Solanum lycopersicum: one gene and its partners. The protein of the gene in region 2 binds, or shares a complex with, the protein of the main gene of each other region. Links are inferred from orthologs where the notes say so. Each region holds a gene or a part of one and is shown on either strand. Other genes may lie near its edges.

What was found.
Region 1: 30S ribosomal protein S13 (region 2) and small ribosomal subunit protein cS23 share a complex: the UniProt entries of both Arabidopsis thaliana proteins name them as parts of the 30S ribosomal subunit. The link is inferred for Solanum lycopersicum from reciprocal best matches to the Arabidopsis thaliana genes EMB3137 and PSRP3/1.
Region 3: 30S ribosomal protein S13 (region 2) and small ribosomal subunit protein bTHXc share a complex: the UniProt entries of both Arabidopsis thaliana proteins name them as parts of the 30S ribosomal subunit. The link is inferred for Solanum lycopersicum from reciprocal best matches to the Arabidopsis thaliana genes EMB3137 and PSRP4.

The regions. Positions count from the first base shown.
Region 1 is NC_090804.1:4,043,230-4,047,012, forward strand, and holds small ribosomal subunit protein cS23, read right to left. Parts: upstream 2,281-3,783; 5' UTR 2,194-2,280; coding exon 1,972-2,193; intron 945-1,971; coding exon 663-944; 3' UTR 546-662; downstream 1-545. Other genes in the region: homologous-pairing protein 2 homolog, read right to left, coding at 53-80. UniProt on the Arabidopsis thaliana protein: Component of the chloroplast ribosome (chloro-ribosome), a dedicated translation machinery responsible for the synthesis of chloroplast genome-encoded proteins, including proteins of the transcription and translation machinery and components of the photosynthetic apparatus.
Region 2 is NC_090804.1:939,281-943,084, reverse strand, and holds 30S ribosomal protein S13, read right to left. Parts: upstream 2,212-3,804; 5' UTR 2,133-2,211; coding exon 2,019-2,132; intron 1,632-2,018; coding exon 1,407-1,631; intron 793-1,406; coding exon 625-792; 3' UTR 515-624; downstream 1-514. UniProt on the Arabidopsis thaliana protein: Located at the top of the head of the 30S subunit, it contacts several helices of the 16S rRNA.
Region 3 is NC_090804.1:66,171,886-66,175,588, reverse strand, and holds small ribosomal subunit protein bTHXc, read right to left. Parts: upstream 2,232-3,703; 5' UTR 2,009-2,231; coding exon 1,831-2,008; intron 1,729-1,830; coding exon 1,664-1,728; intron 774-1,663; coding exon 651-773; 3' UTR 520-650; downstream 1-519. Other genes in the region: uncharacterized protein, read right to left, coding at 3,458-3,703.

The DNA of each region.
Region 1 (3,783 bases), about 3.1 Mb from region 2:
AAGATTACAACTACGAAAATATTCAATTCTGTTATCCGGCGAGAGAAGTTACCTTCAGTGTTATCTGCTTTAGGAGCCATGGATTGGAGAATTCACAGAGCGCGGGAAAAAAAACTTCTGTCAAAATTTCTGTACTTCGAATTCACAGGAAACATTGGGCACGAAGGCCTTTATACGATGTCGTAGTTGAACATCGCGGGAACTTACCCTTAGTATAGCCACTAATTACGAAAAGAGGATTCTTCCATCGCAAGTTTCAAGTGAGAGTTGCCATAGAGCCCATGGGCCTTGTTAGGATGAACCAACCCAACTAGAGAGACTTTACGGGCTTTTAGTTCATAATAAAGTCCAAATATAACGGGCGGTGGAAGATGAACAATCGCTAAAAAATATATTGAATTAAAAGAAAACAAAATCGGCCATGGTTTCAATTTTGTGCGTATAAAACTTGTTGATACTATCTTCATTTCACCTATCTTATTAAATTATTCACAAATTTTGATTATCTTATCGTCCAGTCAGAACACATTAAACAATTTAAAAAATGAAACAAAAATGATTCCAATTGTATTCTCCATCAACTATAGTACAGTTAAAAATAAGATAAAACAAAAACAGAAAGTTGAAACAATTTGTCTACAAATAAATACCAAAAACAACAATTAGGTCAAATTTCCACCACTCTGCTGCCACAAATTGATAATATCAGTAGCTTGATTAAGCAAAATAATCATTTGCTTTTGTGATATCCATGGCTTACTCTCTAGTGTTGTTTTCAACTCTTCCCATGCATCTTTTCTAGGCCAAAAAAAATATGGACTTAATGGTACACTTCCATGGTCTGGTAAAACTTGATCAAGGCCAAGTCCAATATTTTTCTCCATCCATATGAATTTTAGCACTAGCCTTGGCTTCTCAATTACCTTTTTCTTCATATCAACTTTCTGAAAAAAATATATCCAAGAATTCACTATAAGATATCAAAACATAATATCCTATCCTTTTTTGGGCTTATTATTTATATAGTCGTACGTATCTGGAATGAATTATGTGCATTCAACTGAACTTCTTATTTTCATCTTTAATAATGTAGACGTTTCAATACGAGTTTGAGTATTTGACACGGGTGGAAGTCAGAGATTGGATTTTGTCATAGGCGTATCTAGCTAGGATGAGTTAAATGTGTTCAAGTGTTCAACTGAATCTGTTATTTTTGGGTCAATATGTACATACATTATGTTGTTTTGGTACGGGTGCAAGTATATGACACAAATGTTTGATCTAGAGGTTGAATTCATCATCACTAAAATTTTAGGGCTCGAGGGTACGAATTGATATATCTAGTTTTTGTCGAAACATAACTTATATTTATAGGTAATGCTATAATTTAACTCCATTTTTGTTCTGTTTTTAGCTAAATGATCAATATATTTCCCCAATTATGCCTTTTTTTTATTAATTAAAACATTCATAAATTTGCTAGTTATTACTCATTTTCATTAAGAAGTTGTTGGACTACCATTTCATATTTAGAAAAGTCGAACAACACAGTACGTGTTAAATAATCATAGTAAAAGTGAATTCAAAGACTTAAAAATTCTAGATTTGTCGTATATATCAAATGATTCTAAAATATTACTATATTATCCTTTGAATATAAATTTGATGCTTTGGAAAATGTATTATATATTGAATAGTAGTATTCAATATCAAGGGTTTTCATGTTTTTCAAATTGGACAAGTATTGTTAGACGACTATTTTTAATATAATGACCAAGTAAAGATGGATTGAGGGAGTATTTACATTCTTAAATTACGTATCAAGTCAAAATCAGACAAAGATTACTCAATTTTACTAGTGAGAAGTAACACTACCATTCATGAAATTAATTGAGTAGCGCAAAAACTAATCTAGACACTAAGTTATCGAAAAAAGTTACCTAATTGAAAATTAAAGAGCTGATTTTTTACCTCAATTTCTTGAACAACAGACTCTGAAGTCTCAACTTCAACTGATTCTGCTTCTGCAACTGCTGAAGCAAAAATCTTATGAATTCTTCTTGTTGATAAACCTTTGTTGTTAAAAGATAATGAAGAACATGATTTGAAGGATTTATAACCTGGATTTTGTGAAGGTAAAGAAGGGATACTCAAATTGCCTTTCAAGCTAGATTGAACAGACATTGATAACATTTTTTGTGTAGATAAAAAAAATATTTGTCTAGTGATGAAAAAAAGTGAAGTGGGAAAATTGTGGCCTTAAAAAGAGTGTGTATAGAGAATTTGAGATAATGATAGAATGGATAAGGTAATAGAAGAAAAAAAATGAAAGTTGTTTAAATTGGGCTAAGAGGCCTATGGGTGAGGACTTTGGTCATGTTATGGGATTTGGGCCCAAAAGAAATATGATCATTAGTTATCATAGCTTTACTAATTTTGTATATTTAGCAACGTTGAGTTGATTCGGGATGTCAAACGAGCGGATTGAACAATTTTTTGAGAGTTAAAGTTGTGTTGATAAACGAGTGGTATCGATTTGTTTGAAGATTATAAATTTGAGATAAGATGGGTTAGTATTTTGTCGTAGTCTAATATGTTCAACTTTTATCAAGTTTACAATTCTTAGTAGACAAAACTTATGAGTATCAGATTTTTATAGATTAATTTTGTCATCCCTAATCAAATTGATCAATATTATCTGATTATTCAAAAAAAAGTAGAATGTATCTCATGGGTGAAGATTGTTCGTGCTTCTCAAATGTTACGTACTTTTTTAGGTCATTAGTCAGCAACTCTCTCGACAATGACTTCACATTACTTTTTTAACACGTCTATCATTATTATTTTTAGAAAATCATTTTTTGAGATAGATGTTGCGCCTTGAACATGTGGATGAGTGTGATATATGTATGCCTCTTTGACTATTCGTGAAATTAAATCTCTAATATTAACAAAAGAGGGGCATATTAAGAATGTCCTAGAGCTACATTCTTTCTTATTGGTATTAATAAAAAGCCATCTTTTTAATAAGATCTGAAAAAAAATTGAAAATGAAGTTCATATATCATAAATATTTTTCTTTCAATGTCATTTTCTACATAATTAGTAAAAGAGACGACTTTTGATATATATGTCCATGCGTACTACTCATTCAAGTTTATGAAGAAAAAACATTACTTGAGCTGAATTTTATGATATTGACAAAATCATATAATAAAAAAATAATAATATTAATATTAGTCATATTAATTATGAAGTGATCAAAATGAGTTGCAAATTTGAAGAAACCACTAATTCAATTCATACTTATAATTTGCCCTTTACATACACAAAAAAGTATATTTTTATGATCAATGTGACGCTTGGTTTTATTTTTCCTAAGAGCTAATATTGGGCTAGAGGTGTCGTATCCCGGAAGAACGGAGATTGATGATGATATCGTACATTGCATAATTGAAATGGACTGGATAAAATGAAGGTTCGTACTAGGGTACTATGTGATAAGGATGTGTTGTCAAGTCGTAAATGTAAGTTCTACAGAATGATGATAAGAACAACGTCAAATGAATGAGTTGAATTGAATTTAAATGAGTCAAAATGAGTTGAGTTAATAAATAGACTGATCAGAAGTTATTTAAGTTTGAGATAGTGCATGTCATAACCCAATCCACCAAATTCTTATTAAAAACATTTTTCTAACTACATTTTTTTATACATAAAAATTTTAAAAATTATTTTTCCTCTCTAATAAAGACTATTTTCAAGCAACTAAACATTAGAAAA
Region 2 (3,804 bases):
TACGTGTAAATTGATCTGAACATCATCACTATTGAAAAACAGAAGTCATGGTCTTCAAGAAACCTGAGAAAAGTGAACCTTCTTGAGTACTAAAGGGGTGGGACTTAACTTTCATGCTCATGCATGTGACAAAAAGGTGCCACAAACTCTATGCTTTTAGTTAATTCTCAAAATGACCTAACGAGTCATTACATTAACAATGCTATGACTCAAATTGTAAAACTTTGGTATCACATTAATGCAAATACTTGGCCCAAACACATTACTGAACTTGAAGCTTAAACCAAGGCTCATAGATAGGGACTGCACTTCATAGGTCGTTACATCAACAATTATTATGACACCTAACGTAACTTAACAAACCTTTCTCCTGTCAACCAAATCATCCAATCAGAATAACGTAAATTCGCAATTACTCCACATGAAACACATTTAACAAGATTTAAGGAAGAGATTATGCCTAAGCATCAACATTCTTCTTGAAAAGCTCTTATCTTGAAATGTAGAAAAATGATTTCAATGGAAAAAACTGTTTATAACAAACAAATGCACAGTTTGCCATAGGAATATAGAGTGTAACTTTTACAAGTTAGTTACCAAAAGAAATGAAAAATCGATCTTGATTTAACGAGGTGCCTTCTTCTTCCCTGCAATTGCTACTTTCTTGCCCTTCAAAGTACGGCAATTGTTCTTTGTTCGTTGTCCTCTGCAAGGCAATCCTTGGATGTGCCTTACTCCTCTATAGCACTGAATCTCCTTCAACCTCCTAATGGCAAGAGCATTGAATCTCCTCTGATGCCAACACCACAAGTATGTAATCAATTTTCCCGTTTCAAATAGGAAGCCGAAGCATCAATCAAACAAACAACCTTATACACAAGAATCTCAATCAACATTGCCAATTGCTAAACAAGCTATCGATTTCTTCTGAAATACATTTCCATAAGAACTGTTTAATTTGGGATAAGGCTGTGATGCATATAGAAGCCATGATCCTACATACCCACCTAACAATAACTCCCCTTGTTTCGATTTGTTTGTCCGGATTTGACTTGACACAAAGTTTAAGAAAGTAAAGAAGATTTTTCGATCTTCTGGTTTTAATCTCAAGATATGTAGAATGCAGTTTCAGCTCAAATATGGTTCTTTCCATGTAAAAGTTGGACCAAAGATTGGTTTAAGATATTGTTTTTTTGGTTCAATTCCTATCTTGAGACAAAATGAATTAAATTTCTTAGAACCCCAAATGGCATTAAGTTAAACTATAGAGCTAAAATAAACAGCAACCACAGCAAAGTTACATGAACTAGATATCGAAATCAAATTACCTAAGCATATAAGTTTCAATAAGGATATGCACATTGGAACGAAAACAAATGAGTACAAATTAGAGCAATGAAACTCACAAGGTCTCCTTCAATCATGTACTTAGAGACTTCTTCACGAAGAGTGATAAGTTCCTCTTCCGACATGTCTTTCATCACTTTGTTCTCCATTTGAAGGTCTACCAGAATCTGGCGTGCAGTGGTGCGGCCAATTCCATGAATGTATTGCAAAGAGAACTCAACTCTTTTGTTGTTTGGAACTTCCACTCCTCCCACACGCACACACTTTATAACCAAACCTGCAGTCTACACAAAACTCATTTCAGTTCAAACTCAAAATCATGGAAAATTTAGCAAAACCCAATTTAATTCCAACTCAAAAAAGTCCAAAAATATGAAAAATAAGCAAACCTCAATTCAATCCCACCTCAAAAAAACGGAAACTTTAGCAAAAAAAACTCATGTTGGGTTACTGAGAAAATTTCGAAAAATCCAAAAACTCATTCCAATTCCTACTCAGGTAAAAAAAAAAGTAATCTTTAGCAAAACCCATGTTTGGTTACTGAGAAAATTGCGAGAAAAAAAAAGACAAACCCCATTCCAATTCCTACACGAAAAAGGTCAAAAAATGTAAACTTCAGCAAACTCCATGTTTGATTACTGCAAATTTCAAGAGAAGGGAGTGAAGTGTACCTTTGGAAAAGATGTGGGAGTAGAAAAAGAGAGGGAACTGTGCTTGGAGATGGAAGATGTGTTGCAGATAAGGGAAAGAGAAGGAAGTACAGGAGTTGCTAGTGTTTGCGCCATTGTTGAAAATCTTGATTGATGAAGAAATTGAAGAAGGAAGAAGATAGAGCCTTTTGCTGGTCTATTTTTCTTATCCTATTGGGGAAAATTGGATAGGGAATGGAGTTCTTCTTTTCGACCTGGTTTGCTAATATGGAGCCCCGGTTGTTCTTTTTTTTTTTTTTTTAAATTTTATTTTATTAATATGGTATTCGGGCTAGTTTTCATGCACTCGACTAAATTCACCGATGTCTATCATACTGTCACCTCCCAATAAGGATGTGGAAAAATCGAATCGATCAATAAACCTATTAAAAAAATGTTATTGGGTTATTGAATTATTGAGTTAATGGATTTTTAACGGATCTATAAAGGGTTTTTGATTAGGTATCAATTTTTAGTATTTGGTTATTGGATGAATCGATAACTCATTAAGACGATAGTAATTTATTACTATGCACTTTATAAATATTATTAATAATTTAACATAACTAGACATTATATCAGTACTCTACACATTTTACACGTCACATTACTTCTATTTTACATCTGAAATTTCATATTATGTTTTGGTTGTAACATGTAATTGTAGCCTTCGTATTACATCTAATTGAAATGAAGAAAATATTAGCTTTACAAAGAAATCTCTACATTTCATTTCTGATATCGCTCTTTTTATCTAAGGCCTAACCTAAATTTGGGGCGATAGAAATGCGAGTTGAAAATAAATTTACATGATCACTTACCAATTGAATAAAAAGAAAATTGATCTTTTAAAATTTTGTAGGCATAAAAATAAAGATCTCTCATGGGCAACAATAAAAAATTCTTATAAACAACATAAGATTAGAAGTGGTTATAAAATAATAAAGCAAGAACAAGAAGAATATTTTAGAGAAAATTAGAGAGAACCTATTTTTAAAGTAAAGAATTTTATAAATTTTAATACTCCATTAATTTAGTAATTTTAATATTATAAGATTATAACTAATAAATTTCATGACTTACTAATCCTATAAATTACATCTTAATGGGTACTTCAAACGATTCTTATGAGTTGTGAGTAATTTACTTTATAAATTCCTAAAAATAAAACACCTTCCAATTGCAAAATCCTACGAATTTGCTAGCAATAACTAATAACTGTTTATGCGGCATTATAAATAGCAACTTAATTGCCACCCATTGAAAAAATTAAAATTTATCCATATTAGATGTTTATCGCAAATAAATAAATGCATAATATGTATATGTATTGAAACATACACAATAATTTTAATTTATGATTAATTAACATGTATTTCTACTTTATTAAATCATTAAATTTAATTTATTTTTAAATATAAATTGTGGCGTAATGATGAAATTGTGTCACCCTTAATCAGATGTTTCACGTTTAAAATCTTAGGTATGAGGAAAGTTTTGCTGGGAGTGCCACTCTTGAATGAGTCCACAATGCGCCGCGATCAGAATTTGTCGGGGCTCTAATTAATTGCAAGTTCAAGCCCTAGGTATCAAGAAAATTTTGTTAGGAACGTCACTCTTGAATAAGTCCGCAGTGCGTGATCCGAATTTAGTTTGAGCTCTAACTGCAGGTTCGAGCCCTAGTTAAGAAGAATACTTTGTTAGGAGCGTCACTCTTGAATGAGGCCGCAGTGCGTGATCTGAATTTAGTCTGGCCTCCAATTGTAGG
Region 3 (3,703 bases), about 65 Mb from region 2:
TAGTGGACGCAGACAAACTTGGTGACCCAAACAAAAGAAGTTTTTTTGTGACTGGATTTGCTCACTCACATCTTGACTAATTCTTCGAGGTAAAGGTTACCTCCAACCAGCACAGATATGGAGTAATTCTATCCACGAAGGTCTAAATAAGAACCACCTAGGGGTCATTTGGTAGGATGTATTAGCTATGACATTTTTTGATCCTTTCTTTGTTCGAGGCCAAAGTGCCCTTGATAATATATCAAACCAAATAGTGGGTAGGAAATAGCTCCAACATAACTAATCCCAGCATTAGTAATACACTATATATTACTATTCTTATACACTCTACAAAAAGACCTCCTAATGTGTTTGTCTCCGCTAGTATATGAACCTAAAACCTCGTGGTTTTCAACCCATAAGGAATGTGGGGTTCTCTAAGCTTTTCACTTTTCTCAATAGCTAAAGTAGTGACTATTACCACTTGTCTACTGAAGGTTGCTAGAACCAAAATGCATAATTTAACAGGACACAAGAGCATTTAAACGAAGACCCTTCAAGCAAACTAGAAATCTCAGTCCAAATGATTAACTTAATCGATATTTCAATGAAATAAACAAAGTAGTAGAAGATTAGAGCTACATAAAAATGAAATTGCTCCTCCGAGAAAACTATGGGTCATGTATTTCAATTTTAACGACTTGGCCATCATCAAATGGATCTCTCTTTGGTGCTGCTGGTGGTGCTGCAACCCTAGGTGGTCCTCTTCCCTTCTTCTTGTTCCTTGGCCTTGCCTAAACCAATTCATACCATCGGAATCAGTTCAAAATAACAACAAAAAATGTCGAAACAACTGTTGTTTTTTCACTATTTCTGTCAAATCTAACGAACATAAATTGTTAAACGTATGATGATAACACTCTAAACTTCAAAGTACTAAAAATTGGTTAGAGCATATTTAACAGACTATTTTGAATCTATCATCAACATTGGTGGTTAACGAAGAGGGTCGAGAATCATGAGGTTTCAGGTTCAAATTCTATCAGAGACAAAATAACACTAGGTAATTTATCCCATCTATTGATAAAATTAGTCGAGATGCATCTAGGTTGCAATCAAAAATAAACTTCAAAACTTTTTAGGGGTCAATTCGTCTAAATGTATGAACAATTGAATCTCAGTATAAAATTCTATAATATTAAAAGCATTAAACTCCTGCATTAATTATGCAAAACCTTATGCACCAATAATCTTATTCCAAGTGAATCTATAAATCATTTTATATGGAATTAACATTCATTTAATCAAATATGAGTTAAAAAATTATTCATATTAAGTAATTTGTGTTGATATCTTATTTATCAATTTCAACAAAACACATACTTCTCTTTTCTAAAATTTAAAGGCATAAATACATTAAATATCTCATGGAATTATTTATTCATCTTCGATACACTCGTTATTTTAAGCCAATACCTTTAACTCAAATATGCAATAAATTTAATCTCAAATTCTATTTCGAGATTATTATTCTTATTCCACGTATCAAACTAGAATGTTAGTGTAGGATTCTCCTAATATAGAGGAGGTAAGTGTTTGTTTATAAAATATACAGGGGTGTATCTGAAACTAAATCATATTAAGGAGGTCTTATCCTGCAATAAACCAAAATATACAAACTCACATTGCCAAAGGAGTGATTGAACCGCTTGCCTTTCGCCGTCTTCTTATCACCTCTACCGCAGTAAACTGAAAATGAAATCAAATCAAAATTTCAATTTCTCGAACTGAAACTTCAATCATCACAAAATTTTCACAAACAATAAATTCGAAAAGGTATGTGATTCGTACCCAATGGGAGATTTGAATCAGTGAGAGACGAAAACGAAATTGATGGTGAAGGAGATGCCGCCGTAATTGAAACGCTGCCGGCGACGGAGTGAGAACGAGAGAATGATAAATTAGGAGAAAGAGAAGCCATGGATTGAACAGTACTCATAGGAACTGAACCAACTAACAACGACGCCATTGCAGCAGCTCAACTGATAGAATTGAGATTTTATTTGTGGTGGTTCTATAGCTTCTTATTCTGTTTCTAGATAATGTGCCCTTTGTCTTTTTTTTATTCAAATACCCCTGAATTAAGGTAAAATTCACTTATTTTTCCTTGTTTTTTTTTTTTAAAAAAAAAAACGTTAAGAGTTACTTGGATGGTAAATACCATTCATTTTAAACTTTAAAATTGTGAATTCAAGTTATCAGAAGATCAATTATTTTTTATGTAAAAGTATATCAAGCAATAAACTGAGACCTGAAAAGGATTGTTTGGAACGAGAAATAAGGAATAATAGTGTTATCTCAAACTCTATCTGTTCCTATTTAGTTGTCCATTTTAGAAATGACAAACATATTAATATAGCAATAATTAGAATAGTGAAGTTACAATTTTGCCCTTATTAATTATGATTTCGAAAAAGATGAATTAAAACTTAAAAATTTTCAGGAAGCTTAAATAAGAATATAATAAGAAAAAAAATTATCTTTTTTTATGTGTGAAAATAGACAAATAAATTGCAAAATGAGACGGAGGGAGTATAAATATAGTTAGATTTCATCACATACATAAAGAAATTTTAACATATATAATAATTAAGAGAAGTAATGAGATAATAGTACACCTCTATGACAGACTACTTGTCTACATTAACAAAGATATTTATTCAAAATTACTTGTCAAATTAAAAAATTAATTCTATTTTTTTCCATTTTGCACCTTAAATCGACTCTTTTTGATTAAAAATATAAATATTGTAAAGTTCCTCTTTTGTTATTAACAGATAAAGACACAAAAAATAGAATTTATGAAAAATAATTATAACAGTAAATTAGTAAAAAAATAAATATTTTTAATATTTCTTAAAAGACAAGAAAAAAGAAAAAAATGTACGTTGATATACAATGTAGGAAGTAACACAATGATTAATCATACAAGACATTCCCAATTGATTATAATTTTTTTTTTACCAAACTCACTCAAAAATACAAAAATATATTAATAACAAGTCAGTCAAAAGATGAAATACCCTACTCTACAAAAATTTGAGAACTCAATTCACTTATTATCGACCACAAAATTGACCTCGAACTATGACAGTACAGATTCATATAGTCGACCTCAACTTGTTTGGTACTGAACCGTAGATGTTGTTGTTGGTGGTGGTGAACAGCTCCCATGCAAATCACTCTACTCAATCTAGACACAGAAAATCAAGAACAAATAATATAGCCATTTCCCTACAGAAAAAAAACACAATAGATCGATCATTCACGTTAGTATTTATTCAAATATGTGATTTAAATCGACGTCTTGAGGAACTTCTTCTCCACTCTGTAGTTAAAATTACCAGAAGCATAAGGGAATCTCACCATTTTTCTCCTTAGTTTGATGCATTTCTTGAACAATTTTTCTCTGTTACGACTAAACTTCTTCACCCTTCTTGTTATTGATAGAAGAAGTACTACTTGGAAGGAAACAAGTTTCCTCGCCACCCGTGTTCCACAAGAAATTGGCATATGTACATCTATAATAAGGGTTCCTAGGCTCAGCTGCCACTGCCTGTTGGTATTTTTCTTCTGCTCCCCATAAATCGTTCTTAACCTTCCACAAGAAGATCGCGTACTGACATAGGGCCTCTGCATCCGGTGGTTCCACTTGGACTGCCCG